Linked DNA regions of Styela clava. The protein of the gene in region 1 purifies or fractionates together with the protein of each later gene. This does not show direct contact. Links are inferred from orthologs where the notes say so. Each region holds a gene or a part of one and is shown in the gene's direction. Other genes may lie near its edges.

Region 1 (7,804 bases):
AAAATCTCCCCCGATAATTGCCCGTGAAACATTGGCTAATGTGAATTTCCAGATAAAATTTCTAACGCATATAGTCAAAGGCACTTTTCGTGTGCCATATGTCGTAATTGAGGTGCCATTAGCTGCCAAAAGTGCTTGTCCTGGTCGCCCGTAACGACGGTCATGACTGGTGGCAGGCAGCACGCTGACTTGTGTACCCGTATCAACTAAAAAACTGCGTCCAGAGTTTTTGTCTGTGACGTAATAAAGGTTTGAATCGCCGACCGCCAAAGAGGTTACTGACGGTCGGCTATGGCGTTTTCCGAAACCACAAAAGAACATGGCGGGCGACATTTTTTGGCTTTCTTGCCGAATTTCCTGTGATAAAAACACATTTCAGACAAAACATGAGATGGTTTGAACGAACTGGTTTTTTGTACAGCGTTTGTCACCTCATAGCCTTTTGCAGTTAAAATATCATCTGCTTTCCTTGCCAGCTTCCGAAAATCGTCGCCCGTGGTTGTTAAAATGTCTGTAAGTTGAGACCGGACGTCTGGTGGCAGATGACTGACGAACAAATGGCGAAATAAGAAATCAGGTGTCTTACCTACTGGATACAATGCAAGCATGTTGTCCATAAGTTCCGTTGCCGTTCCATCCCCTAGTCCAGGCATTGAACAAAGGCGCGCAGCTCGTTCAGGATCCGTTAGCGAACATTTAGTAGTGAGCTTCTCTTTGAGATCTTGGTACTTGTTCGTTTCCGGCGGGTTATTGAGAACATTAAGAATGCTGGCAGCGGTATTGTCATCCAGAGCGGCAACCACGTAGTGGTATTTTGTTTCATCTGTTGTGATATTTCGAACAGCGAACTGCGCTTCGACTTGGTGGAACCAAACGGCAGGATTTTTAGTCCAGAAAATCGGCAGCTTTAATGATACCGCTGTTATGCCTACTTTGTTGTCTTCACTCATATTCTTCGTTATGTGCGTATTCTTTTCTCAAAAGTATGCTTATCACGTCGGGGTCACCATTTGAAGCGAACTAACTTCTTTCTAACAAGAAAAAGACTTTCAATTATGTTGATGTTTAATCCATAACAAAGCAATGTTAACGACAAGCGAACAGAAAACAGAATGACAAGTTATCGTAAGAAAAGCACGTAAGTAATCATGCGTGACAAAAACATAAACAAAACAATTGTGACTCATAACGGCTATTATTAGTTAAGTGGTTCGCCACACTGTATTATTTTATCCATGGGAACACTGGCTGTCCGGTTTGATTCTGTAAATTATTTCTATGCGAAACTCGGAATTTTTTGTGGGTACCGGTGGCGTCAAAGGTAAATACTGCTTCGCCATCGCTACCGGTATTTGTTTTTCGAAATCATGGACTGCTTGCTTGGTGTCAGTATATTTGTAGACTGTGGTATGTCTTGTAGACCAGTACCGGTATGTAGACCAAGTATGTACCGGTATGTAGACCGTAACTAGACCAATACGGTTATTCAGTTATTGTATTATAAACAGGAAACATGTAAAATATTTTATTCCTAATACCGTACTGGTAACTGCGTTGTCTTAGTTCTAACACCGGTACCATACGCTGTTACCCCGTACCGGTAAGTGCCGAACACTGGAATATATTAAATGTCAGAATGCCTGGTACCGGTAGTGAAATGAATTTCCTTTACCAGATTTGGCTACTTCGGACGAAAACCAAAATTTGTACCGGTATCCGAATACTGGAATATATCAAATGTCAGAATGCCTAGTAGTTATAACTTTGCAAATGCTGATACTGTGTTATGTCAGTATTTGTCAAGCCCAATGTTTTCAAAGATAGAGAAGTTCTGTTAGCGCGGTGACACTGAACTAACTAGCTGTCAAAAGCTTGAAAATCCATACAAATATAAGAGATAAAAAGATGAACTTTGGCAGGTGGGTAGAGTTGTGTTTCTTTTAACCATCTTTAAAGGTTTCGCGTTTTTACATTAAAAGGAGGGAGAATAGGGGGGAGCGCATTTCCAATACGTCGATGATATCTTTGTCAACCAATTTGCGACCACGATGTTTTTGTCTGTTTGATTCCTGTGATGTGGTGCGTTGTTTATACAGGTACTGGTAAGTCACCGAATATGATTTTTCGGAGAATTGTTCCGCGTGTCCATATATTTGAGCATTGCTCTCTTGTTTATTATCAGCAGCGACAGCGAAAAATATATACTGCGATAGACTTTCCTGGAACACAACCTAGTGCCCATGTTTAAATGAGGGAACATTTCTTACAAATAATATTGTTACATGTAGTGAGTTATTTGACTCCGAGTTATATGACGATGGTAGCGCGCGATCTTCACGTGTTTTCGTATTTAGTTTTCACAGATGAGCTGAATGGAGTCGGAAATTCCGTAGAGTTCCAGATCGACGGCTGTGAGGGGAATTCCGATGCATATTTATATAGTGAAAGTGACTATTTACCGTTCCACGAAATACTGGATATTGATGTTAGTGGATAATCTGGACGCGACGAGCATCTCGGACAGTACCAATGAAGAAGACGAGCATCACCTAACCGAGAAAAGAGACGGCATCCAATGCCTTTATTAGCTATTTGAATTATCCGTCCTGTGGTTGCCTTGGTTATCTGCCTGTTGGCGCTCGGAGTCGTTTTCTTCTAGTGATACCGGAAATATCCGGTCTCGCAAATATATTCATATGCTATTTGTGTTAGTATTTTTACTCTTATCATGATTCAATGATTTTTTCATTTTTACTTTTGTATAATTTAATGCTAGACTATTTCATTTCACGGGTGTCACTGCTCGATAACCACTTCTGGTTTATCGCGACTCCTTTTACCGCGGAATGCAACTTTTCATCTTTTTTCCTGACCTCGTATGTAAAAAGTGTATTTTCGATGTGATGATAAAATAAACTACTGATTACTGAGTGTATGGTGAAAAGAAACGAAATAAAGAAAAAAACAGGGGGCCACTGGAAAATAATATGGAATCTGGAAAAGGAAGAATTGGCCCAATCATCAACCAGGGCCTCCATGTGGATCTCATTCTTAGCAAAGTCAAATACCGATGTAACGTTGTGAATGAATATCAAAGCCTTGCTATTTTCATTAAATTTTGGTCAATGACGACTTGCACTGAACTCAAAATATTTATAAATACGCTGGTTGAGACACATGCGGTTAAGCATCTGACCATCCGGTATATCTAGACCAGTCTGCAAAGATATGTTCGCATCTACGTTTTTGCCTTGCAGAACTCAACTGTCTTGGATTAAACATAAAATCTCTTTTAACGTATGAGCTGTTGTTCAGGCATACCCGAAAAGTGGAAAGTGTGCAAAAGTAAGCGAAAGGTCAATTTCACACTATATGATGCAAAATCAAAAGCAGGTACTGTAACGTCTGGAATGAAACTGAAGGCAATCTGTCCAATAAATTATTTGCTTACTTGCAGTTTAAGCATTTCAAGGAATCATTTGTAATATTCCCGAGCTGAAGCATATCATAATTTGGAACGATGGATGCGGTTACCAAAATAAGAATACCACGGTAGCCAATGCATATTCTAGTCTAACAAGAACTTACAACATAAATATGGAGCAAAAATGTTTGGTGGCTGGACACGCACATATGGAATGTGACTCAATGCACATCGTCATTGAACGTATATAAGATCGTAGAAGACATTTTTACTGAACAAGATTTAATCGTACTTATGGAATCCGCATGAATCAATCCATCACCCCCGCCAAATGGAGCACACTGATTTCAAAAGAATGAATCAGTTGTTCCCTCAGTTGATTTCAAAAGAATGAATCAGTTGTTCCTTCAAAGCATTAGATCCGGTAAGAGAGCAGAATTGGCTGCCATCATTTTTAGGATAACCTCACGAGTAGATTATACAAACTTTAATGAAATATACAATGAATTCATGTAATGAAGTTGTTTGTTAATGTTTTAAGTTCAAAGTAAGTTGATGATGTTTTGATTCTATAATATTGTTAGAGTTGTGAAATTTTATATTCTTCGTGTAAATTGAATAAAATACATCCGGTCTGGGGGTAACATATTTATTTAATGAAATTATTCTCTCATTATTTTTTCATCATTGCCGAATGGACCTAAACAACGTATATAGGTCAAGCGAATGCACGTAGAAAATATGGAATGAAGATGCGATTAATATTGCCTAACACTGGGTGTGGGAATGAAAAAATGCGGTACTTAATTTTTCGCATATGAAAATTTTTTTAGAAATTATATATATTCCAAAATATTAAAAAATTTGATAAAATGAATCTATATAAAAGAATTTTGAAAATGATTGAAAAATGAGAAAGTTATGAAGTTTTATTTCATTTACTCAAAATGTGGAAATATGACTTGGGCCATTCAATAGGCTGGCGATATGCACTCTTTGCGTCCATACATCGGATGTTCCGATACTCCATCATTGCAATTTTACCGAAATATTGGCGGTTGGCATAACATACTTGGCGCCAGAAACACGTTAGCTTTTGCACTTTTGACTACCCTTCACGGATACTCAAGTTCCAATAATCAATGTGCAAGAGAATTACTTGATTCCTTGACTTGAATTACTTGACGACATCTAACCGACTTCTTCCAAAATCAAATCCATGTATCTGAATGTTAAGACTGTCACCAATTACTACCTCTGACTTTTTGGCAATTCCCATAATCTGGTAAAAATTAGTTTTGAATCGCCAAAGAGCTGTGAAATTCACATGTCATTTATTCTTGCCTTGTGATGTTTGATTGTAAACGCATGTGTAACATCATCTGTGACTCTGTGAAAGCAGGATATGTCTGTCACATTTGCCTCGTACTTTTAAATACAATATCTCGAGCTATAATTCCGAGCCATTCTTATACATTCATTACAACGGTTATAATATTCTACTTTCGCTATATTTTGTTTATCTCCGCTTGGTCGCATTTGTATCAGCTGTTAGCTAGTCACCTCAGCCGCATCTCGCAGCTAGGATCGTACAACTGCTGCGGAGATCAGCAATAGGCCTTCAGGCGTCGCCGCATAGTTTACTCTGGGACTTCACCGTTCAGAGATCTGAATTAGTTGGTTTGGAAAAATCATAAAGCTGAAGGATGGCGATGCTTCAGGTATGTTAGATATATCTGTATATACTGATATTTGAAGGACTAAAGTCTGGAAGTTAATACTGCAATGACAGAATATTTTCACTTTGATTATTATAAATTTACACAGAACTGTGTTCGGTATTTTTGAAGGATTTCAGTATCTCTGTATGATACCGGTACAGTATATCGTTTCTGCATGCTATATATTTATGTGATAAGTTTGGGATACTGGGATATCTGAATTAGGATAGGATTTAAATTAACCTATTTATCCCGATTGAATCACCAGTAAAATGTTATTTTTGCATTTATCCATATATTCTCAATTGTTGTTGATGTTAAAATTTTTGTTTCAGGGAAATTCAAAAACATTTGATAACAAATGGCCGAAGATGCAACCAATTGTTCTCAAATTATTGGGACAAGAACCAGTTTCAAAAGAGGAATGGCAGGTAGAATAGATGTTTACAATTATCAACTTAAATTTAGCAGAACTAGGCCTACAATGTCAATAGACATGCCCTGTATCTTTATGTAAGGTTACATACATATATTAAGTTACGAGAATAACATACAGTTACTGGCTTAACTCAATCTACAAACATGTGGTCCAGTAATACGTTTTGGTTTACATTGGTAGTTTTGTGTGATATAGATTGAAGGTTCAAACTGAAAGTGAGATTTGACTTACTATGAGTTTACTCACATCTATATTGAGATTTTAGCTATTATGAAACTTATTTATGAAAAATGTTTTTAAAGTAATATTTGTTTAAACATTAGGATTATACTTGGAAATACAACCTGAATCATCATATTGATATTTCTAGACACTTCGGAAGCATGTCTCCTCAAAAAATTATAGTAGGCCTACTATAAAACGCTGTTATTCATATGCCAAGTTTCAGCTCATTATCTCTATGACTTCTTGCTGTTGATGATTTTTCTTTATATTTCATCGCCAGCTCTTATGCTGTTTCCTTCTTTTAGCAAATTTTATTGAGATTTCATGGAAAGCTAGATGGCAAGTGGAGGTGGTGGTTAATTGATAATATTTCTTCTCTATTTTTTGAACATGTTAAGGTTATTCAAGTTATTGTACGCAATTGGCTGAACTGGCCTGTGTTTTGTGCAAATCTTTCTTCCAATGTATCGAATCTTAATTTACAAAAATTTATATTTATGTTTAATCATGTTTTGGGACAATGGAGTACAAGAACATATTCTTTATTTTGTTTAGGATTTGTTTTACGACGTTCACACTGTATGTCTGTGGGATGAAGATAAAGGAGTGGCCCAAGTACATGAGGCTCTCAAAAATATAATTTCTAATTTTATAAAGAATGCAAAGATGGTAAACCGATTTTTTTACTTGAAGAATTGTCGATAAGATGAATTATTTAGGAAGATATGTCCAAACCAAATCGAATATTTATATCAATTCCAATTTTATTAAGCAATTGAAATCTTCCAGTGTGATCAAAATTTATTTCATCTTTTCTGCATTTCAAATGCAAATTATTGAATGTAAACTAACTTCTATGTGCTCTTTGCTGTACATAACCCAATTTAGAAAAATTTCAAAGATTTAGTATTAGAATATACTATTTAAGAATGTATCAGAACTAGTAGAATACACATTTTTTGCCAACCTCCGTGATTAGGTTATATTACTATAGTTATGTGATTGTGTAGAAAAAAATACATTCAAGTCAAATATTAGATTAAGTAAAATTTGTGAGTAATTTTACTCTGTCATTATGGATTTGAATAAAATTTTCTATTCTTACATCAAATATTTTTTTATTGTTTAGAAAGTAAAAATGAATGATGACAATTCTGCTCTCTTGAAAGCTTATATTTCGGTTTGGACAAAGTTTTTTGAACAATGTCTATATCTACCGCCTGCTTTCAGCACTCTTGAAAAATCACTTGAAAGTTCCGATAACAATTTGGGAATGAAGAAAAACGAGTCCAGAAATATTATTAGGAAGGTTGTATGGATTTATGATGTTACTAGTATAATAAGACACTCTTCTCTCTAAACGAGGCTCTGCACGAGTAGCCATTGTTAGGTGCTATTATAGTTTGGAAGGACTGGTTCAGTTTGTGACAACATGGGTGAGGTGGTTGTTCTCAGGATTTGAACCAAAGATTTTAACCTGCAATGACATCATAGTTATGTCTAATGTTTTAAAAACAAGGCCACTGCACCCATGTTATGTTTTACTTTTAGTTCTAAAGGTTGGATCATTAAAAATAGAGATAGTTGACTTACTCGGTTAAATGTTAGGAAAACTCTCACCTTCACAGGGACTCACTCGCGTTCTGATTTTGAAGGATGGTCCTTTTGTTGAACTGCCTTACGTCATATAGTGTTTACATAATGACTAAACAGATTTGATTTCTTACACCAACCAGATTCCCACATCTAGTATGGTATTATTACTATCAGACTGATGAATTATAGTAAGGATATATTTAGCAACATAGTTAATCATCATTTTAGCTTTCCCTCTGTCGCAAAATAGCTACAAAACCTATTGTTTATATATACTTATCTTATGTTGCTCTAAAATGTATCTGATATCAAATTTAATTTCATGTTTGATTTTTCAGTTGATGCTAGATAGTTGGAATGAACATGTTTTCTGTGATATTCGTCATCGACTTCAAGACA
Region 2 (6,916 bases), on another chromosome or scaffold:
CCGCCCTACTATATCCAATGTGACAATCACTATGTCTGAGAAATTACAATGAGTTAGTTTTGCGCAAATTCTAGTCGTATAAACTTACGTTCGAGGTAAGCAGGAAGTGGATTTACTGCTTGCTTATATCTGAAAAACAGTACAAATTCAACATTTTAAATAAATATTGCCGTGGATAATATTTTACTCCAAATTTTTATTTCCAATAAAAAAAAGGGCTGCTTAATATACAGATTTACATGAGTCAAAGGTAATCACTTAGACCTGAAATAGGCAAACTAACGCCCGCGGGCCAAATCCGGCCTGTTGGGTAATTCAATTTGACCCGCGTGATGCTGCGACAACCAAACTAAAACCAAATTTTGATGTTTTAGCTAAAAAGAACTCAAGGAATTTGTTGAAATTGCGATTAAATTTAGTTTTGGCACGAGGCTTATTGTTTTCCACTTTTGCCTTTGTAAACACTGTGTCACATTGTTACGTCACACTTGCTCGCCAGCCTAGATGGGCAAAATTCTTGCCCTTGGACCAAAAACCTTGCCCACCTCTGACTTGGACCTAGAACCCTATCCAAACGTTTCAAAGTTACGTTTTTAGTACTCAATTTAGTTCTCCGAAAAAAATTTCCTGGATGTTACTTTTAAAAAGGTTAGAATCTCTACAGCATACTCGCAGCCATTTTTTCCTACTACAGCGAAGACATAAACATCTTGAACGTCAAATTAAAAATGTTGAATGGCTGTAAATTCTTACGAAGACGGTAACGCTATATTCAACACACGAACAACAACTCTGTCGTTTGCTAACAATAAAACACTTACTTACCCTGGCCGTGGTTGTCCATTGGACATGTTCACGAAAAAAACACTAGTTACCAATATTATCAAAAACGACCAATCCATTGTATATTCTCTGTAAATGGTTCCTGGAAGTAATGCAGGAAATTGTCAAACAAATACTAGGAGGACTACTTCCATGTAAGCCAAATGTTTGACAGGCGGTCAATCAAGTCAGTTACCTTTCATCGTCTGCCGCCAAATCAGACACAATCTTGCATATTGAGTGAAACGTGCTCCGGAAACGTGCATGGATGGGGCCAGAAAACGTGGGAAAAATTGTGCAAATCAGGTCAAAAGTGAATTGAATTCACGTCAGATTAAAAACACTCAGTTCGCAAACGAAAACAGGCCAACGAACTTACCTTGTAACACAAAGAACTCGTCCGATTCTGATTCAACCGGCCTTCAGAATTTCTTGAAGTTGTAAAGACACACACACCGAGATGTGACTATAGATTCCAAAAGACGAGTCTTTTATAGAGTGATGTGAAATTTTTCCAAAAATTAAAAAAAAATATTTTTAAATCTTTGATATAAATTTGCTTATCGTCGTCTGTGCAATAATAAACCAAAAATTCTACAGATACAGTTTTGAGAAATTACATTATATTCATTTTCCTATGTCTATTTACGCAATTTGTACTATGAAAACATGGTATTTTCAATTGCATTTGAATGACGTGCGGGCAAGGTTGCAACATATCAAACCACTATCATATCCGGCATCGAGTCGTTTTTAATTCAAAGTGGTTAAATTTGCTTATATTATCATCGTGGTTGGGAAAATATTCAATTTTATTGGAGATATGTAAATTTTTTTTTCTCGGATTGAAATATATTTCCATTAAAACCGCACATTTGAGTATTATCATAATATTTCTGCGTATTTGGGCTAAAAATTACTGATCTGAACCCATTTGAATTTTGTTCTTGAGATAATCAACGGCATTACCATATTATCTCTGTGTTTATATTGGAATTTTTGAGAAACTTCAGAGTGGAGACTTTTGTTACCTAAATCAATGATCATCAAACGCCATCACTCACTCTCGTTGCTATTTTTCAAATTGCTCTTTTTGAGGCCTCGTTATTTATAAAACTCCTCACAAATAACCAAGTGAATTCGTATACAATTGCTGTCCTTTTTTGTTCTTATACTTGTGAATTCAGCGAGATAAAAAGTATTTAAACCGTGAACGTAAGACGTTGGTAAACTGCACTGAAATCTGTCAGATTCAAAGCATTCGGTTATTGTATCCAGCAAAGTCTAAAAACCAAGTTCTCTTAAAAATGTTGATCGAATCACACCCCCCATATATTTTGCATGCATTTATCTCATCGTTTCTAACTGCGATTTCCTCATTCTCCGCAAAGAAAGTCAACATTCCATAAAGTATTTGTATCCAGTACAAGTTTATCTTATTTCATTCTACCCGATACCCTGTCATGTCGTTGCTCGGGCTCTCCAGTAGTATAGGTACCAATGCGAAGGTAACTCATTTTGTTCGCCTACTTTACTTTAAGTTGTGTAAAGGGACTGAAATCTATGGGCAGGGGGTATATATTAACTCAAAATATAACTAAAATGAGGAAAACCGGAATCAAATTATGGTCTAACCTTCATCTGGTACACACACTACGGGAGTACCATTGCTCGGACTCATTTGAATATAATGAGTTTCTACAATTAATAAATGTACAAATTTTTGAATTTTAATAAATGTAACAAAACTTTTCAAAGTGGGCATGATTATAAGCACATTTGCATTTAGTTCGTCAGTTAATCATGAATGATCATGTATATATCAAAGTTTTTATGCAATTTTTTTAATTATCCACAAACCATCAACTGAAACTTTTTCATAGTGCTGAAATAATAGTTTTCTTATTATACATCCTGTTATACCAGTAATAAACGTGTATTGTGCGAAAATTTACCACTCGCAAGCCGCAGCTGCTCTTTCGGAACGACGATCCACGAGCTATAAGCGCGAAACAGGGCAATCGCACCCATCATGCATGAACGCACAGAAGATGCAAGCAGCGAATTCCCCTGGTGTATATTATAATTTATACTGCAGAAAATTTTCAGTGATTTTACTTGCGTATGTATGTAAATATGATGATTTATATGTTTACAATGCCGTCCGAATTTTTCATCTATCAAGTATCGGGCGCATAAAAACCTTTTACGATTACATTATTCGTTCATAAAGATTATACCTTATGTTAAAATAAAATTTAATTAAGTGCAACTTTAAAATACAAGTAAATAAGATCTATTTTTCAATATAGAGAACTTAATGTACATGGTGCTCATTTAGCACTTCGTCTTATCACAAAGAGCCAGTTGTTGTCACACGGCGAGTAATCTACCAATAAGTAGAGACGAGAAACATTCATGTGGACATTCAAAACTTTCAACTTGAATAGGTAATCAGATATTTGCCAGTAGCATTCACTGAGTTAGTTATAGGACAGCAAGAACATATACTATCAGATCATTGAAATTTGTTTCTTATAGAAAACGCAGGATTTTGCTTGGGACCTTACAGATCAGTACGAAAACTCGGAGAAAGCAATATTTGAAGTGCAATATAATTCACGATGCATTATTTTTTATTTGTGTTTTGTAATTAAAAAGTCAAAATTCGTCTGATGTCAGAGAAAGTCTTTATCATCCTTACCGCAGTTAAAATATGTGATTGGATGTGTATGCCAAATTTTCTTGATGACAAATCTTATCAGATGAAACGATGTGTTCATTGCGTTTTTAATTCTAAATTTCCGAGTGTAATCTTGTTCTGTCACCAGTAGTTTGGATAAGATACGTTTCAGTTTGAAGTAAAAGATTAGTTAGACGTTTGACAGTTGATACAATACATATTATACCTACTTTGTGCCAAACGAGTAAGTATTTGAAGGATCACCACAAACAGGACTTTCAAATCTATCAAATCTGCGAAGTGATAGAGTTGACAGGTCAAGTATAGACTAACGATAGCGAAAAATAAATCAAATTCAGGCTAACCACGTTTAATGAAAATCACTCCCACTAAAAATGTTGACAATAATATCCATATGTCTTTTTCAGTTCATTGATTTTTACTTACAAAAATCTTTAGTTTTAATAAAAAAGTCATGACTCCAAATAATTTTAATGAAGATGGAGAGATTTCAATCACTAATCAGGTATTTTGCTACTCTTATTTGAAATTTCTTATTTTAGTTCAACAAACCATGCTTTAAAGACTCTTGCAAACATAAAATGACTATTTGTAATAAAAAATCTTCCCCTCACTTTTCTATTGTTTTGACGCGACTGTTATCACTGTACCACTATAGAACTTCTGTTTCTGTACCATGCAATCTACTGAAATTCCAAAAAGCTTGATATAACTTTATAAAATCTTCCGCATCTTGAAAACGCATTGATATATAAGTGCCTACTACCGTTGGAACTACTCAGATCTTCACGGTTCAACTACTTGAATCATTGCACCCTTGACAAAGTGGCGGAAATGGCTGGGTTAAGTCGCCATCAGAATTCAGAAGTCCTTCAAATTATTCTCATACTGGACTGGATATGCCACACAGTTCTTTGATATATTCCATCCAAAAATGCTTTTTAAATGCAGGTTGCCAATAATCCTAATGTGGATTCTACTTCAAGTGTTCAAAATGCAAGCCTCGGTATATCTGGAAATGCTGGTGGCGTCAATAGTACAGAAACAAATGAACAATCACCCATACTTCCACTCCGAGTTGACCTTGTGAAATCCCTTTCCGGTGTTTTCGGCGGAATCACAGAAGGTGAAGATTCAAAATTACACACGGCTGCAAGGAGGGGCGATGCTGAGGAGGTGTGAGAACATGAAGTTCTGTTTTTGGATACGAATTGCAATAATTAATGATTACTTGCTAAAGATAGAGTATCCGAAAGTATAAGATTGCAATACTCATATACATCCATATACAGACCAATTTCCACACATTGACGATTACTATGAGAGGATATTTTATCTTATAGTAAGGAAGTTTCAAGAAAATTCTTACTTTTACTGATACTGGTCGTATGAGACTAAAATGCTGTAGTATGGATGTAGTATTTTTTACTTTGTTTGAAAACTTATTTCTTCAGCATTTTCAAACTAAAATCTTACCAGAGGCGATTTGATAAAATCATAGTGTATCATATTTATAACATATTCAAGTCTTTCTACCTTCTTACGTTCTGCGTGATATCAATTTTATATGTATAGTTGAAGAAGTTCATTTAATTTAAACGCATCATATTACAGACACGTCGATTGTTATCTGGCAAACCTATAAAGAAAAGAGACATAGGTCAGTATCTCTTCAAAATCCACTATAATGTTAGGGCTATGGAATTATGATATTATGATATATTGGCATACATAAAATTTGGCTCCATCAGAACCATACTAATTACCGTATATAGCGTATAAGAGACTGTTGGGTACACAACATTCAAGTTACATTGGATTGTTTCATTCATCTATCCTATCAAAACACTCTGTGAGTATTACCCCGAGGGATTTAACTTTTAGATACTATAATTGACTCCTTGCTGTTGGATGTAGAATGTAGATCAATGGTGTATCATTTTGAAAAATTCTCCATCACGTCATATATCGTCCTATTACTCTCTTGTTATAAGTACTTTGTGTGTTTTGAACAAGTACATGATAAACTATGTCATAAAACTATATGCTGTAAAATATTTCTAGATGAAATTAAAAGCATGCTATTGTTTTCAGCTGGACTAAATGTGTTAAAAAAATTTCCCTTTCTTCGCTTTGCTCATGAAAAATATGAAGATGAAGTTACAGATGCTGGTTTGGAAGCTTCAAAAAAATTGCTCAACTGCAGAAATAGACTCGGCGCAACAGCTCTCTGGATTGCAGCTTCGTTAGGACACACTGAAACAGTTGAAGCATTATGCGAGTGTGGGGCAGAGTAAGTGAAAAAGTATCTTATAACTGAAAGATGCAATGACAAGAGAGAATGCCACGAGGTCGAGTGAATACAGATTCTTTGCGCGGAGTTTGATACTGTGTAATTGATCTTGTATATCTGTATACTTTGTGTTACCGCTACAATATCGCAGAACAAATGGACACAAGTATATTTCATATCAATGCTTGGTATAATTGTGATAAAACTCCATTAAGTGTTGTGACAAACTCTTGTTTGCGCTACTTCCTTTTTCGGAATTTCCTATAGTCCTGAATTTTATCGTTAAGCACTTACTCTTACGTCGTTGTTGAATATTTTGCATTGCTTCTCGCATTGCATTACCGGTTTAGATAGATTGGCTTGTGAGCAGAAATTTCATGAAAAAAAATGGAATATTCGAATAGTACCTGCGCTGGGAATGGACAACACGCGTGATACTATAGTCTACCTTTTTCACCGTGGTATACCTATTACAATTTTTCAAGAACTTTTTATATATACCATACAAGTACCAATATGTATTTATGGCTTAATACACTGGTCTAGCCACAGAAATCAACTCAAATAAAGTTCGTCTAAACTCTAAATTACCTGAAATCAACGTATGTTAGCATGTGAAACATAGACAACATGATCTGTCATGTTGGCTAATTATCTAAATTAAGTAATTCTCATGTATTTTAGTTTAGAGATACCCGATATCAAAGGACAGACTCCATTGCTTGCAGCATCAAAATATAATAAAACCGAATGCGTCAGTGTACTTTTAAAAGCAGGTAAGTTTTCAATGTTTTTTTGATAGAACATAATTTATTTTAGTTAAATTATTTTTTGTTTCCGTGGAATTTATATGTTTTCTTTATATATATATATATGCACATCACAAGCATATATTATAATACTGTTATCTTCACCTAAAATATATTTTACTAGGAGCCAACCCTGAGGGTAGCACGGAAAATATATGCTCGCCAATTCACATGGCCGCAAGATCTAATTATCCAAACGTTTTACGGTTGTTAATTGAATACGGGGCGGATGTGAACGGAAAATATTCTGATACGGAAGAGAATCGAGGCAATAATCTGTACGTGGGA
Region 3 (7,308 bases), on another chromosome or scaffold:
GACATTTAGAACCTTATCAATATAAAATAATAAAATCTCTCCCCACTTGGGCGGAAAGCGATGTGACTAACGTTTGGAAAGTGTGTATTTTTACAATTTTTCACCAATGCCATTATTTGAGAAATAGGCACTTTTCAGCAATGGATTACGCATAATTTTAAAATTTTGTACCCATCGACTCAAGTTGTTTTGTGTAGACTTTCAGAACCTGATCAATATCAAATAATAAAATCTCTCCCCACTTGGGCGGAAAGCGATGTGACTAACGTTTGAAAAGTGTATATATTTACGATTTTTGACCTATGCCGATATTTGAGAAATAGGCACTTTTCAGCAATGGATTACGCATAATTTTAAAATTTTGTACCCATACACTCAAGTTGTTTTGTGTAGACTTTTAGAACCTTATCAATATAAAATAATAAAATCTCTCCCCACTTGGGCGGAAAGCGATGTGACTAACGTTTGGAAAGTGTGTATTTTAAGATTTTTCACCTATGCCATTATTTGTGAAATAGGCACTTTTCAGCAATGGATTACGCATAATTTTAAAATTTTGTACCCATCGACTCAAGTTGTTTTGTGTAGACTTTTAGAACCTAATCAATATCAAATAATAAAATCTCTCCCCACTTGGGCGGAAAGCGATGTGACTAATGTTGGAAAAGTGTATATATTTACCATTTTTGACCCATGCCGATATTTGAGAAATAGGCACTTTTCAGCAATGGATTACGCATAATTTTGAAATTTTGTACCCATCGACTAAAGTTGTTTTGTGTAGACTTTCAGAACCTAATCAATATCAAATAATAAAATCTCTCCCCACTTGGGCGGAAAGCGATGTGACTAACGTTTGAAAAGTGTATATATTTACGATTTTTGACCTATGCCGATATTTGAGAAATAGGCACTTTTCAGCAATGGATTACGCATAATTTTAAAATTTTGTACCCATCGACTCAAGTTGTTTTGTGTAGACTTTTAGAACCTAATCAATATCAAATAATAAAATCTCTCCCCACTTGGGCGGAAAGCGATGTAACTAACGTTTTAAAAATGTATATATTTACGATTTTTGACCTATGCCGATATTTGAGAAATAGGCACTTTTCAGCAATGAATTACGCATAATTTTAAAATTTTGTACCCATCGACTCAAGTTGTTTTGTGTAGACTTTTAGAACCTTATCAATATAAAATAATAAAATCTCTCCCCACTTGGGCGGAAAACGATGTGACTAACGTTTGAAAGGTGTGTATTTTTACGATTTTTCTCCTATACCATTATTTGAGAAATAGGCACTTTTCAGCAATGGATTACGCATAATTTTAAAATTTTGTACCCATCGACTCAAGTTGTTTTGTGTAGACTTTTAGAACCTCCTCAATATCAAATAATAAAATCTCTCCCCACTTGGGCGGAAAGCGATGTAACTAACGTTTTAAAAATGTATATATTTACGATTTTTGACCTATGCTGATATTTGAGAAATAGGCACTTTTCAGCAATGAATTACGCATAATTTTAAAATTTTGTACCCATCGACTCAAGTTGTTTTGTGTAGACTTTTAGAACCTTATCAATATAAAATAATAAAATCTCTCCCCACTTGGGCGGAAAGCGATGTGACTAACGTTTGAAAAGTGTGTATTTTTACGATTTTTCACCAATGCCATTATTTGAGAAATAGGCACTTTTCAGCAATGGATTACGCATAATTTTAAAAATTTGTACCCATCGACTCAAGTTTTTTTGTGTAGTCTTTTAGAACCTAATCAATATAAAATAATAAAATCTCTCCCCGCTTGGGCGGAAAGCGACGTGACTAACGCTTGAAAAGTGTATATATTTACGATTTTTGACCTATGCCATTATTTGAGAAATAGGCACTTTTCAGCAATGGATTACGCATAATTTTAAAATTTTGTACCCATCGACTCAAGTTGTTTTGTGTAGACTTTTAGAACCTAATCAATATCAAATAATAAAATCTCTCCCCACTTGGGCGGAAAGCGATGTGACTAACGTTTGAAAAGTGTATATATTTACGATTTTTGACCTATGCCATTATTTGAGAAATAGGCACTTTTCAGCAATGGATTACGCATAATTTTAAAAATTTGTACCCATCGACTCAAGTTGTTTTGTGTAGACTTTTAGAACCTAATCAATATAAAATAATAAAATCTCTCCCCACTTGGGCGGAAAGCGATGTGACTAACGTTTGAAAAGTGTATATATTTACGATTTTTGACCTATGCCGATATTTGAGAAATAGGCACTTTTCAGCAATGGATTACGCATAATTTTAAAATTTTGTACCCATGGACTCAAGTTGTTTTGTGTAGACTTTTAGAACCTTATCAATATAAAATAATGAAATATCTCCCCACTTGGGTGGAAAGCGATGTGATTAACGTTTGGAAAGGTGTGTATTTTTACGATTTTTCACCTCTGCCATTATTTGAGAAATAGGCACTTTTCAGCAATGGATTACGCATAATTTTAAAATTTTGTACCCATCGACTCAAGTTGTTTTGTGTAGACTTTTAGAACCTAATCAATATCAAATAATAAAATCTCTCCCCACTTGGGCGGAAAGCAATGTGACTAACGTTTGAAAAGTGTATATATTTACGATTTTTGACCTATGCCATTATTTGAGAAATAGGCACTTTTCAGCAATGGATTACGCATAATTTTAAAATTTTGTACCCATCGACTCAAGTTTTTTTGTGTAGACTTTTAGAACTTAATCAATATCAAATAATAAAATCTCTCCCCACTTGGGCGGAAAGCGATGTGACTAACGTTTGAAAAGTGTGTATTTTTACGATTTTTCACCTATACCATCATTTTAGAAATAGGCACTTTTCAGCAATAGATTACGCATAATTTTAAAATTTTGTACCCATCGACTCAAGTTGTTTTGTGTAGACTTTTAAAACCTCCTCAATATCAAATAATAAAATCTCTCCCCACTTTGGCGGAAAGCGATTTGACTAACGTTTTAAAAGTGTATATATTTACGATTTTTGACCTATGCCGATATTTGAGAAATAGGCACTTTTCAGCAATGGATTACGCATAATTTTAAAATTTTGTACCCATGGACTCAAGTTGTTTTGTGTAGACTTTTAGAACCTTATCAATATAAAATAATAAAATCTCTCCCCACTTGGGCGGAAAGCGATGTGACTAACGTTTGAAAAGTGTGTATTTTTACGATTTTCACCTATGCCATTATTTGAGAAATAGGCACTTTTCTGCAATGGATTACGCATAATTTTAAAAATTTGTACCCGTCGAATCAAGTTGTTTTGTGTAGACTTTTAGAACCTAATCAATATAAAATAATAAAATCTCTCCCCACTTGGGCGGAAAGCGATGTGACTAACGTTTGAAAAGTGTGTATTTTCACGGTTTTTCACCTATGCCATTATTTGAGAAATAGGCACTTTTCAGCAATCGATTACGCATAATTTTAAAATTTTGTACCCATCGACTCAAGTTGTATTGTGTAGACTTTTAGAACTTTAGCAATATCAAATAATAATATCTCACCCCAGTTGGGCGAAATGGGTTGAAAAGGTGTAATACCAAATGATTTAATTATGGCTATTTGATACAACTATATCATTTCCAGCAATGTATTTCGGATATATTGTATTGATATATTGGATTGTTCTCAAAAATTCCTAGTTGTACAATATAGCATATTTATATTTTTTGTTGTTGAAAATGTTGGTATTCTTTCTGTATAAAGAAATGTCAATAAAGTTTAGTTTAACTTGCGAGGTACTTCGGTATTACCTTTCAGCAATCTTTTTTTAAAGTACTTTCTCGTGCCGTACTGTTGTAGTTTTCAACTCATATTTATAAGTTGTTGCTTGATGATTCGCACTTTAAATATTTTTTTAGACGCTACTATTATTTCAAGTCAGATACATAAGAATATCTTTATTTTGTTTTTTTACTTTCATTTTCCGAATTATGCGCATGGGTATTTACTCCCGCCTGCAATTCTGCTATGATATTTGAACTTTTTGCTTGGTTGCGCACAAAGGTCACCGTGCGACTCACTTCACAGTGGTATACCTTGTTTACTCCAGAACTCATTCATAGAGTTCTCCTTTTGATTGTCGTCGAGTCGAAGTAGTCAAGGAGTGTTTGAAACTTAGTTGGTTAATTTTGAAAATTATGATATGTTCACCAGCTACAGTTTACTTTACCTGTTCTTGACTCAGGTTACATTATATTGTTTTCAGTCGTCGGCGCCCTTCGGCTTGCTATCATTTTTTATTTTTTTTTTGACTGAGCCCCCCTTTCACCCTTTTATTTTCTATTCAGTACCGTAATTATCAAAACCTTATTATTAATGAATGAACTAAAGCTGGACAACTTTTTAAAAATTAAACTTGTGGATGGAGATGCTGACCTAGGTGATTAATTTTTTTTTGTTTGCTGATTCAACTACTGAAAAATTTGAAAAAAAATATTGTACTAGTCACTATTATTAGTCTTTTAGTGCTACTTGTTGAAATCATCAATACTGGTACCATAAAGTAATTCACTACTGGACTACATTCCGCTGTTCTGACAGTACTGCAGTAGGAACTACAGAACTAGATCTTATTAGTCTATTCTACTTCAGTACCGGTAGTGTATTTTTATCAAAGTAAAAGGACGCACAATCTGAAAACGATACCGGTACCATTGGATTATCAACAAAATTATGTGCGTTCTAGGGTTTTTAGCATGAAACGCAATATTTGATCACTTGACAGCGGCTGTACAGCTGTAGGGAGCGATAACAACATAAGCGTGTGATTGATGTTTTTTATACCAATTCTGAAGCAAAAACCTGATTAATTTCGATTTATTTTTAGATGATATCCAAGAGTCCAGAAGTTTTATTGGTCCATCACATCGCAGACTTGGAGATGCTGGAGAAACACATTGTTGTGCATTTTCACCGGATGGAAAATTACTAGCTTGGTCTATTGCACATGGATTTGTAAAAGTTTGCTGGTTTGCACCCATCGCAAACAGGAATGCATCAGAAGATAGTTTGTTATCAAAGTACGTTCAGCGAAGTATCTGCTTCTCTGAATATGTATATACAGGGTGACTCAATAAACAGAACCCTTGTCATTTGAAACATATTTCAAAAAAAGCTTTTTTGCAAAGTGTACTAATTTACTGAAATGTTTGGGTATAATCACACACAAACAGAAGCTAAAGTGTTCTTTAATTTTTGTAGAAGTATTCAAATGAATAATCAATAAAAAGATTTTTTTTAATTTGATGGAAGTACCTTATTAAAAAATCTAAAGATCTCTTTTTGTCACCCATACTGATAGAAAAAATTATGCCACATATTGATAGATAAAATTATGCTACTAAAATATGTCAAATTATGCCACTTTTTTAGTAACTCTGAACTGACAATTGACTGTGCAAAGAAGGTCGTAACATTAAAGTTTGGTCCTTTGAGATGTGACGTAAATGAAAATGTTAAGTATCTTTTGGCAACTGGGCTGGACTGTGGAAGAATCAAATTATGGAACCCTTTTACAGGTGATATACCCATGATTAGTCAGTGACTTTTTATATTAATTAGTTGAGGGTTCAGGCATTTTCTCTCATATTTTCAGCCCCGTAAACCCAGCATGAATGGTTGGTTTTAATTTCCCTTTCTTCAATTGGAAATATCAATCAGTACAAAGGAAAATTTCCTGTGCATCAATATGATATGTATAGTTTTATCACAGTGTTTCATGCCCGGACCATTGGCACATCAGGATAATGAAATTAGGGCTATTCAGCGCAACAATGAGGACCCTATCAAGCAATATCCCAGGGCTGTGGCCTGTTGGTGAAGGTCGTAACCCCAAAAATATGGCTCGATAAAAATCTTTCGATTGATTATCCTGCCGACTTCATGATACTCTTTAGAATGTAATTTATGTAATGAACAGTATTATCTTGCATGTTTCGACTATGCTCCCGGGCTGATTTTAAGTGAGAGTCCAACAGTTTTTATCTGATTGTGTTCTCCATTGAGCATCTAAGACTGGCTCACTGTTCCTTTGATATTCTATTGAACCTTTCACCATTTTTTTTTTAGGTGAAATGATGTATAATTTGTCAGATCATCATTTCGATGTAAAAGCATTATCTTTTGCTTTACTCGGGGAACCACTTCTTATATCATGCTCGCTAGATAAGACTTTGAAGGTAAACTATTATCAGTTGATATTTATAACTTACGTGAATTTTTGAATATAACTCAATCGTTCTTTCTTCTGTATGTTTTTTTCATTGCAATTTTTTCATGTCTTATAAATAAGGTATGGGATTTAGCTGACGATGGCAACATGACTTTAACAATAACAGGACATCCATTATCAGTGTTTGATTGTGCTTTTTCTCCTGTTGATCCATCTCTGATTTGTTCAGTTGGAAAAGGAAGCTGTGTGAGTTTGTTTATTTACCTAAATTACCTTTGTAGAATAGAATTTAAGATGACAGTGTTCTTTGACTATTAAAATATGTCTGAAGAAATTCATCTGAATGCTATTTTATATAGAATTGTTTTCTGCTGATGATTTTGAATAATATTTTTTTAATGCCTTTTTTAATTAGAATTTACCGAGTAAATTTGTATAATAATCGGACTTTCATTGTGTTGCGAACCTGTTAGAATATGCTGTAAAAAGTTGTCAAAGATTGATCAATAAATTTAAGTCGACTTATATTGGCACAATAAACTAGTCCAGTGGTCCTAGAATGTGTGTCGTGGTGCAGTAGTGCAACGTGAAATAATTTCACCACAAAATATCAGTATATTTCCTAAAAATTACTTCTTGTATGTCCACATTTAATTAAGAATTTCAAAAATAAATTGAATTTTTCTAATTGCGTTTCGACTCATATTATAGATTGTAATTGGGTCATGAGTTTGAAGACAAGTTTTTTTCTTCAAAACTTCTGCACCAGTTAGGCTTGCACGTAATTGACAAAAATCAATTCCGTAATTACGGCCAAATCGATTACGTAATGACCCCGTAATTGCGATATTTTTTTCACACATTTAAACCTAGCATACCAACCAATTTAATCCACTTCTATTCCGAATGGGACATCGAAGTTTGGTTTTCATATTCCCGGCAGTACCACACGCCGGAGACAGATGTTAAAGACAAATATCAAGGAGTGAATTCAAAATAATTTTATTCTGATTTTTATTATTTGTATTAGCTTTGATTTTCCTTTATCAACTTTATCACCAAATTTTATGC
Region 4 (7,445 bases), about 7.6 Mb from region 1:
GTTGACGATGGCTTCATTCTTACAATGACACTACAAGTAGAAGGGTAATCAATTGAGCTTAATTGATAATAATGAAAAATGAGAATTGTTATCATATGAAAGTAAAACTTATACATACATATATTATTTTAAGCCGAGCAACTGAAGACTCACTAGATAGTTTGATTCACTATATAGATAATGGAGATGGGACGTATACTGCAAATCCTGAACTCAGTGAGTTTGAACTCGTTTAAATTTAACTTAGTTTCCGATATATAAAACTGATTGAGTATATATCTGGTCAAAATAATATTTTAACTGCTCAATGAAATTCACTACAACACTCAATTATCCAAATTGTCATAACCAGTAAACTTCTTTATTCTGAAAACCTCTTTTTCAGTTCCATCGATGGCAGCAAGTTCTAGAGAATCGTTCAAGCATAAACTCAACGTAACTGGGCTTCAAAAAGTGGAAGCTAGTAAGTGGCGAAATTCAAACTTTACATTTGTTAATCAAACCAAATAATCTGCCAAGAATAGCTAAGACAAATAAACGAATCTGATAGTATATCATAGTAAAATATGTAAATAATATGAAGATTGTCAATCTTGCGAATTATAGGTGAAATAACTTCTATTATTTTGACTCTATGTATTTGCAGATGAGAGTTGTAACTGAACTTGTTGAAGTATTTTAGTCAAATTAAAATGTTCAGAAAATTGTCTATCTCAAATTTTTTTCTAGTGATATACAAGATGTCGACTGGAAATTTTTTCTTCCTTACGGACTATGATGAATACTTCATTATGGCAAAATGTGCTCCCGATTCTAGTAAGTCTATGTAGAAATTATAGATAGCTCTTTCCAAACGTATTGCTTCAACTATAATACTGGATGAGAACGGCTAATTCATTCCAATTCATTTCATTCAGATCTGATTGCCCTCGTCAAGCACAAGAAAAAGCAACCAACGGGAAAAGATGTCGCGGACATATGGAATGTATTTTCCAACCACGGAGAAGCCCCTATTACACACTGGGAAGGATTTTGTACCAGAAGACGGTTCACAAAATACGAAATCGAAGAAAAATAATTTCTACTCATGAAATTGAGTATTGAAGTACGAAACATGGACTTCTGACTAATATCTTTTACAATTCATGTTATAGACATGAAATATAATATTGTTGCATAATATCCATCGGCCAATGACCACACACAAATAAATGTGATATCATATTACAAAAAAGTAATGTCGTACTGTTTCATAAATATAATGGAAAACCATAACCTACAGCAGGACTACTCAACTGGCGGACCTTTCGGGTATTCGATTCGGACAGCGACTAATTCTTTATTTTGAATCATTAGCCCCACTCTTGAAGTATCCTTTTATAAAATCCCTTTTATAGGTTTAAATATATATGAAAAAAACTATAACGCAATAATAAACAATTTTACATAGCTAATATTCATTTTAGTCTGCCGAGAGAGTGCGTGTTTAGGGATGCCGGAATATAATTTCTGGAAGGTCCGGACCCAAATATTTTTAAAGTTTTGTATGCGAATCTTCGGTAAAAATAGTTGAATAGCCCTGACCTACAGTACTAAAAAGAGTTTCCATCATCTATGAATCCACCTACACTTGCACCCATTGACGTTTGCACTCAAGTACATTTGCACGCGCAGATTTTAGCACCGGCATATACATGGGTGGGATTCGGTGGCTTCCCGCGAATACGTTCTTGAAATGTCGTGATATCAGCCGACCCGTTCTAGTTTTAGATCTGCAAGTTTTCTGAAATGAGTGAACTTGTTGTTAGCAAGTTCGATGCAAAATTAAACTCGGTTTATGAGAGTAGACATCTTGGTGACATAGCAATACAAAGTGAGGAGAAGTGCTAGCAACAAATTGCTCGACATAATCTTGCTTCCGCCAGGTCGAGGCACTGAACTATAAATTTATATAGAACGTTCTTCTCACTCGTTTGCGGGGTCTCCGACGGAGAGTCAGCATTTATGCTCCCAAGCTTACTTCGTATTGCTTTTGGCATGTTGTCTTACGTAAGTTTTGGATGACGTAGTTACGTGGCGGTTAGAAATGATATATATATGCAAAAATTGTTACGCCACGCCCACTATAAGTTATTGTTGCGGTTTCACGAATCGTCGACTAAAATAATTACTAATCATTAAATTAATTCAGCGGTTTCCAAAATGTGCGACGCGAAAGAGGGGAGAGTTGCTAAGTGCGCCGCGAAAATTAACAGAATGTGTTAAACATAACTAAAATATGATTGAGCACTTTACATATTGTATCAATTATAAAAGTTTTATTGCTTCTTATTTTGAATGCTGTGTATATGAATCGATGAATTCATTTGACCTTTCTATGTCGTTTACACTTTATGTTATATAGTGTCTTCCTCTATTGTTACGTAACAATAGAGATAGACCACTTGATACAATGAATTTTTTAGCATTTTAAAGGAGAACCAGGCATAAATGAGAAGGGAAATTCGACTTTTATTCTCTAGGCCTACATGTTTACAAACAAAGGCACAAATTAACGATCACAAAAATTGAGTTTTATTTGAAAACATCAGTGCGCGGTGATTTTTTCCCTGATAATTTGGCGCCACGCGAATAAAAAATTTGAGAACTGCTGCCGAAATCCATCACGCATTATTCGCCTCCTTCGTCCTGACGGTAGTGTCCTTATATTTGAATATCGTTGTATTGTTATTAGTAGGGTTGTCCAAATTCGAATATTTTTTGGACTCCATTGCCGCCGTAGGGTGGTTCACGTAACCGCAGTAGGTTATACGGCTTCCAACATCAAGTCCATGTATCTGAAAACAAATAACTGGCTGACTAATCCCATACCTGGCATGAACTTGTACGGTTACCGGCGAGATGCTGTGGTTCGTCATATGATTAAGCTGTCTTATCGACTTTCAACTCCCCCCGGAAGAAATATGTAAACCCTTTCCTATAAATGCACACCATCAAGCTCGTGCATCTGAAAACGAATAACTGGCTGGCTAATCAGATACCCAATATAGACTAGTACGGTACTGGTAACCAGTCGAGTGGTTTTCAGATATTGCGCACCAATCCAATAAAGCGATTTTTTCAGACATATGTCATGCAGGCTTTGTTGTGCAACGTGGATTGCATCGCATTTAGATAATTTTGATTTCACATATGACCTTTTTTGTCAGCATTTTGTAATCGGTATTTAGGTTGCACCTCGGGTAGGCTACTTGTACTTTACTCCGTGCTATGGTTTAGTGCTGAAGATTAAGCTGCAATTTTGTACTGTTGAAAATGACAAAGCGAAAATGTAAATTTACTGACGATATGAAGGCATGACACCCATGCTTTCGGAATGGCAGAAATGAATGAGAAGCAGAATGCCTAGTTTGTAAATCAGGAACATACATCTCGGTTTTTTACAAAGTTTTCCGGATTCAAAATAACATCTAGCAGTGAGAGGAGATTCCTCTTCTACTAAAGTGACGAATTATTTTCTCACAACAGGATGTAAAACAGGAGATGTAGTTACAACTGTCGAGGGCGCTTATGCGTACACAAGCATCACAACAGCTTTTTGTGTATGATTGTACTTGCTAAAAAACGTTCCCTAATTCTGACTTGAACAAAAAATTCTTGTGCCGAAAAAAGACGGAAGCGATCATGACATCTGTACTTGCACCGCTGCCTTTAAAAGTTTTATGGAAACTGGTATCGAATATTATGCAGTTGATTTAGTGAAATGCAACAACTTTGCACCATTCGTTTTGTTCTGTATTTTTCTATTCTCACGCGAAAGCGACGGCAGCTTGTGCACTTGGATACATCGCGAATTTATACCATGGCATTATTACCATGGTTTAAATTTTGTCAGGGATTTTGTCTTTTCAGATATGGTTACCTTAACGTAGTCATTGGTAACAGGCACCCACACAATCCTTCCGTTTATTGGGTGGATACCGCTACACGCTCCCATTCCCAATACTGTATTTTGGTCTATACTCGTTGAGGTAATGTCCACACTGGTGTGGCGGTGTGGATAAGCGTTAGGAATACGCTCGCCACCGCACCTCTAATTACTCTGCGTGGGTTCGCAGGTTCGCATCCCATGCAGGGATGGTTATGTGCGAGAGGATTGCTGGACTCCTCGCCGTCGTTGGGTGGTTCACGTAACCGCTGGTCGGTTACGGCTTCCTCCACCACCAAGTCCATGCTTCCGAAAACAAACAATACAGTAAAACTAATCCCATACCCGACTTGGAATGGTAACCGGACGAGAGGCCGTGGTTCGCCCTATGGATAAGCCGTCTTATCGGCTTTCCTCTCCCCGGGATAAATATGTAAATCCTATCCTTTCCTTTACTCCACTCATAAATTGTAAATGATCTACTCCTACAACGTAAGATGACGCCAAAGAGCGGCGTCGGATGTAAACAATGACATACGGGTCGTCGGCGTAAAATAGCTATGTCGTCCGTCCAAATTTACATAAATAATATGGAATTTTGCTCATAATTCTGTAATCATAAACTGCGCAGATGCATGGGCGAGCAATTAGAAAGATTGTAACGAAGAAATATTAATTTTCAAATGACAACAAGGGATAGCTATGTTGATATGTGGCACATAATGGAGGCCTTACAAACGCGATATCTCCTGACACAGGAAATGATAGATCAGATATTACGGAATAATGATTCATGCTATGAAAGATTGGACTTACCGCCACCGAAAAAAGTTCTGTCAGAAAGAGTGAAGGAATATTTGGACAAGGTGAGCATTCTGTTTCATATTCAGTTGATTCAATCATCAAATTTATTGATTTGTATTATACTAAGCTGCAAAAGAAACATTTGGATAGGATAGCCCTTCAAACGGTAGGATAGGATAGGATTTTCATATTTATCCCGGGGGAGAGAAAAGCCGATAAGACGGTTTATCCATTTGGCGAACCACGGCCTCTCGTCCGGTTACCATTCCATGTCTGGTATGGGATTAGTTAATTACTTGTTTTCGGAAGCACAGAAGCATGGACTTGATGATGGAGGAAGCCGTAACCGACCAGCGGTTACGTGAACCACCCAACAGCGGCGAGGAGTCCAGCAATCCTCTCGCACATGATCATCTCCGCATGGGATTCGAACCTGCGAACCCACGCAGAGTAATCAGAGGTGCGGTGGCGAGCGTATTCCTAATGCTTAGCACGATGAGCCACACCGCCGGGCCGAATATCTGAATATAGACAACATTTCCTTCTATTTTTCGTTTGGTAAACAATTTTGAATGAATGCACATGAAACAATAGAACATTATTACTGTATCCAGGGGCGCAGCCAGGATTTTTTCTAGGGGGGGGTTACGGTGAAATAAAAATGCGTTTATAGGTCTTTAAAAAGATGTTCCGACGATGGCAAAACAACATGTGCGTCGCTGTGTCTCATTAGCCTTTCTTTGCATGTCCTACTTTCAGCAATCGCCGACCATTCTCTTTGGTCAAAAAAAATCAATCAACTTTTCATTTCAATGCGCCGTTAACTATATTACTGAAAGTGAATTCGTCGCAAATTCAAATTCCTGTGATATTTGCACATAACGCTTCTCTACTTTTAGCGGCGATTTATCAACATATTATTACCAGTTTGTTAATAATGCATGCTATTACTTTTGGCAACAGGGTTAAATTGGTTTATCGTTGTTTCAAGCAAGAAAATAAGCATTTGTTTTTTTCGCTTATTCAGCAATCGTAATTCAAATATTTCCCTATGCGAAAGAAAGTCTTCATTCCGCGGGGTGTCCTTGCGATTTAGAGTTTCAAAGTGATGCCGAAAATGCTGATGATAGAGAAACACCGACACATGTGGCTATTTGTCGCCAGACCCTGCCCCCTTTGACAGGCGTCAATTCGTTTATTTTGTTTTGGCATGTCCCATTTCAACCTTTTAGTAATCGCCGATTATTACCCCATTGTCAACAGTTAAATAAAATGCCATCGTCATGATTTTAATTGAAATACCGCAAAAAATGTAAAATAAGAATAGAATGAAATATTAGCAATCATGAAACATTAAGAAATAGCATAAATTAATGATATTTGCCAAATGCCAATGGTTCATAAGAGTGCGTCACGAAATATCAATCCATTTCCAAAATAAATATATTTGATGTTCCCGTATTTATAACTTCATAAAACATTACAATCATTTAAAAACAAGCTCATGTATCGTATTGATTGGGAACGTCTTTCAATGTAAAACTCTTGCTTGTTGCAATTAACTGTTAATAAATTCTAATTTTTATTGCAATGCATCGAGACCTATATTACTGAAAGTGAAATCGTCGCGAATTTGCTGCATTCTTCACTTTCAGCAATAATTTAACTATAATAATTTAAATATAATTTAATAACATATTGTTACCAGTTTATTGAAAAGATCTGGAAGACAACGCATGTAACTGCTTTTCGCAGACAGACGATTCCAAACGAGTCTTGGACGAGTTTGCTACCCAAAAATCCCGAAGATTGAACATTATATTACGATACTTTTTACTCGAAGATTGAACATTATTTTGCAATGCTTTGTTTTCGAAGATTGAATATTATTTTATGACACCTTTTTTCGATGCTGCCACATTTGGCAATCCTTTGTTAATGAACCATACATTTCCAATAATTCATTTTGTCTGTTATTTGCTTATGATCCTGGTGCCATCGCTTGTTAAAGATGCACTACATAACTAAAATTCGTAATTAGGGATAAGCCGATAACCAACGATAACGTATGTGATTAAAAGTATGGATGCGTTGAATGTGGCGAGGCGAGAGCGCGCTTGTGGAATAGTTTTGACGGCAATAGTGTGATACGTCCGTTGCTATTTGTGTCAAGTGAAAGGTAGTACAATTGTATTTAAAAATGTTTAGTGTAGATTGTCACTTCCGTGACCCCCCGCTGGCAGCTAGATCCACTGCCGCGTAACAGAGATAACGAATCGTAAACATAAATAATAAATTAGGACGCTGGGCGAAAGTGATAACGCAAAGAATAAAATTATTGCAAGTAAACGTAACACTATTAAAAAAAAAAAAGATTCCAAAGGGGGGGGGGGGGTTACGACCCATGTAACCTCCCCCCTGGCTGCGCCCCTGACTGTATCAATAAGTTAGTAAGTCTGGCCATTCTGCTATGTCAGTGCTAGTGTGAGAATCGTGAGATATGTGGTATAATTAACAGGTTGAAGTGTTTTGACTGCCCAAATATACTTATCTGGAATTGTAATAACTGGATACTGTTTCTTAACTTCATACCAGCATAGCCTACTGCAGTACTGAGATTTGATATTCATCTTATCAAAGATGTCTAGATCATTGCAAAATACTGCTAGATTAGAATGTTTTTTTCACTTATGTAAACTATTTTTAGGGAGCT

The links.
Region 2: the proteins of cullin-5-like (region 1) and ankyrin repeat and SOCS box protein 12-like purify together in Homo sapiens (affinity purification with mass spectrometry; 6 studies listed by BioGRID and IntAct, counting the BioPlex papers as one, with this or other methods). This does not show direct contact. The link is inferred for Styela clava from reciprocal best matches to the Homo sapiens genes CUL5 and ASB1.
Region 3: the proteins of cullin-5-like (region 1) and WD repeat and SOCS box-containing protein 1-like purify together in Homo sapiens (affinity purification with mass spectrometry; 4 studies listed by BioGRID and IntAct, counting the BioPlex papers as one, with this or other methods). This does not show direct contact. The link is inferred for Styela clava from reciprocal best matches to the Homo sapiens genes CUL5 and WSB1.
Region 4: the proteins of cullin-5-like (region 1) and uncharacterized protein LOC120348408 purify together in Homo sapiens (affinity purification with mass spectrometry; 3 studies listed by BioGRID and IntAct, counting the BioPlex papers as one, with this or other methods). This does not show direct contact. The link is inferred for Styela clava from reciprocal best matches to the Homo sapiens genes CUL5 and ASB8.

What each region holds. Positions count from the first base shown.
Region 1 is NC_135250.1:10,414,748-10,422,551, reverse strand, and holds the start of cullin-5-like, read left to right. Parts: upstream 1-4,790; 5' UTR 4,791-5,130; coding exon 5,131-5,145; intron 5,146-5,480; coding exon 5,481-5,576; intron 5,577-6,364; coding exon 6,365-6,478; intron 6,479-6,938; coding exon 6,939-7,118; intron 7,119-7,743; coding exon 7,744-7,804. UniProt on the Homo sapiens protein: Core component of multiple cullin-5-RING E3 ubiquitin-protein ligase complexes (ECS complexes, also named CRL5 complexes), which mediate the ubiquitination and subsequent proteasomal degradation of target proteins.
Region 2 is NC_135252.1:8,869,871-8,876,786, reverse strand, and holds the start of ankyrin repeat and SOCS box protein 12-like, read left to right. Parts: upstream 1-3,897; 5' UTR 3,898-3,980; coding exon 3,981-4,031; intron 4,032-4,477; coding exon 4,478-4,702; intron 4,703-5,140; coding exon 5,141-5,186; intron 5,187-5,620; coding exon 5,621-5,819; intron 5,820-6,503; coding exon 6,504-6,595; intron 6,596-6,752; coding exon 6,753-6,916. Other genes in the region: chymotrypsinogen A-like, read right to left, coding at 89-129, 826-902. UniProt on the Homo sapiens protein: Probable substrate-recognition component of a SCF-like ECS (Elongin-Cullin-SOCS-box protein) E3 ligase complex which mediates the ubiquitination and subsequent proteasomal degradation of target proteins.
Region 3 is NC_135252.1:10,399,628-10,406,935, forward strand, and holds the start of WD repeat and SOCS box-containing protein 1-like, read left to right. Parts: upstream 1-4,286; 5' UTR 4,287-4,382; coding exon 4,383-4,446; intron 4,447-4,893; coding exon 4,894-5,086; intron 5,087-5,438; coding exon 5,439-5,584; intron 5,585-6,134; coding exon 6,135-6,244; intron 6,245-6,357; coding exon 6,358-6,483; intron 6,484-7,308. UniProt on the Homo sapiens protein: Probable substrate-recognition component of a SCF-like ECS (Elongin-Cullin-SOCS-box protein) E3 ubiquitin ligase complex which mediates the ubiquitination and subsequent proteasomal degradation of target proteins.
Region 4 is NC_135250.1:17,968,378-17,975,822, reverse strand, and holds the start of uncharacterized protein LOC120348408, read left to right. Parts: upstream 1-4,435; 5' UTR 4,436-4,611; coding exon 4,612-4,794; intron 4,795-7,439; coding exon 7,440-7,445. Other genes in the region: uncharacterized protein LOC120348287, read left to right, coding at 1-44, 134-216, 386-463, 730-816, 918-1,078. UniProt on the Homo sapiens protein: May be a substrate-recognition component of a SCF-like ECS (Elongin-Cullin-SOCS-box protein) E3 ubiquitin-protein ligase complex which mediates the ubiquitination and subsequent proteasomal degradation of target proteins.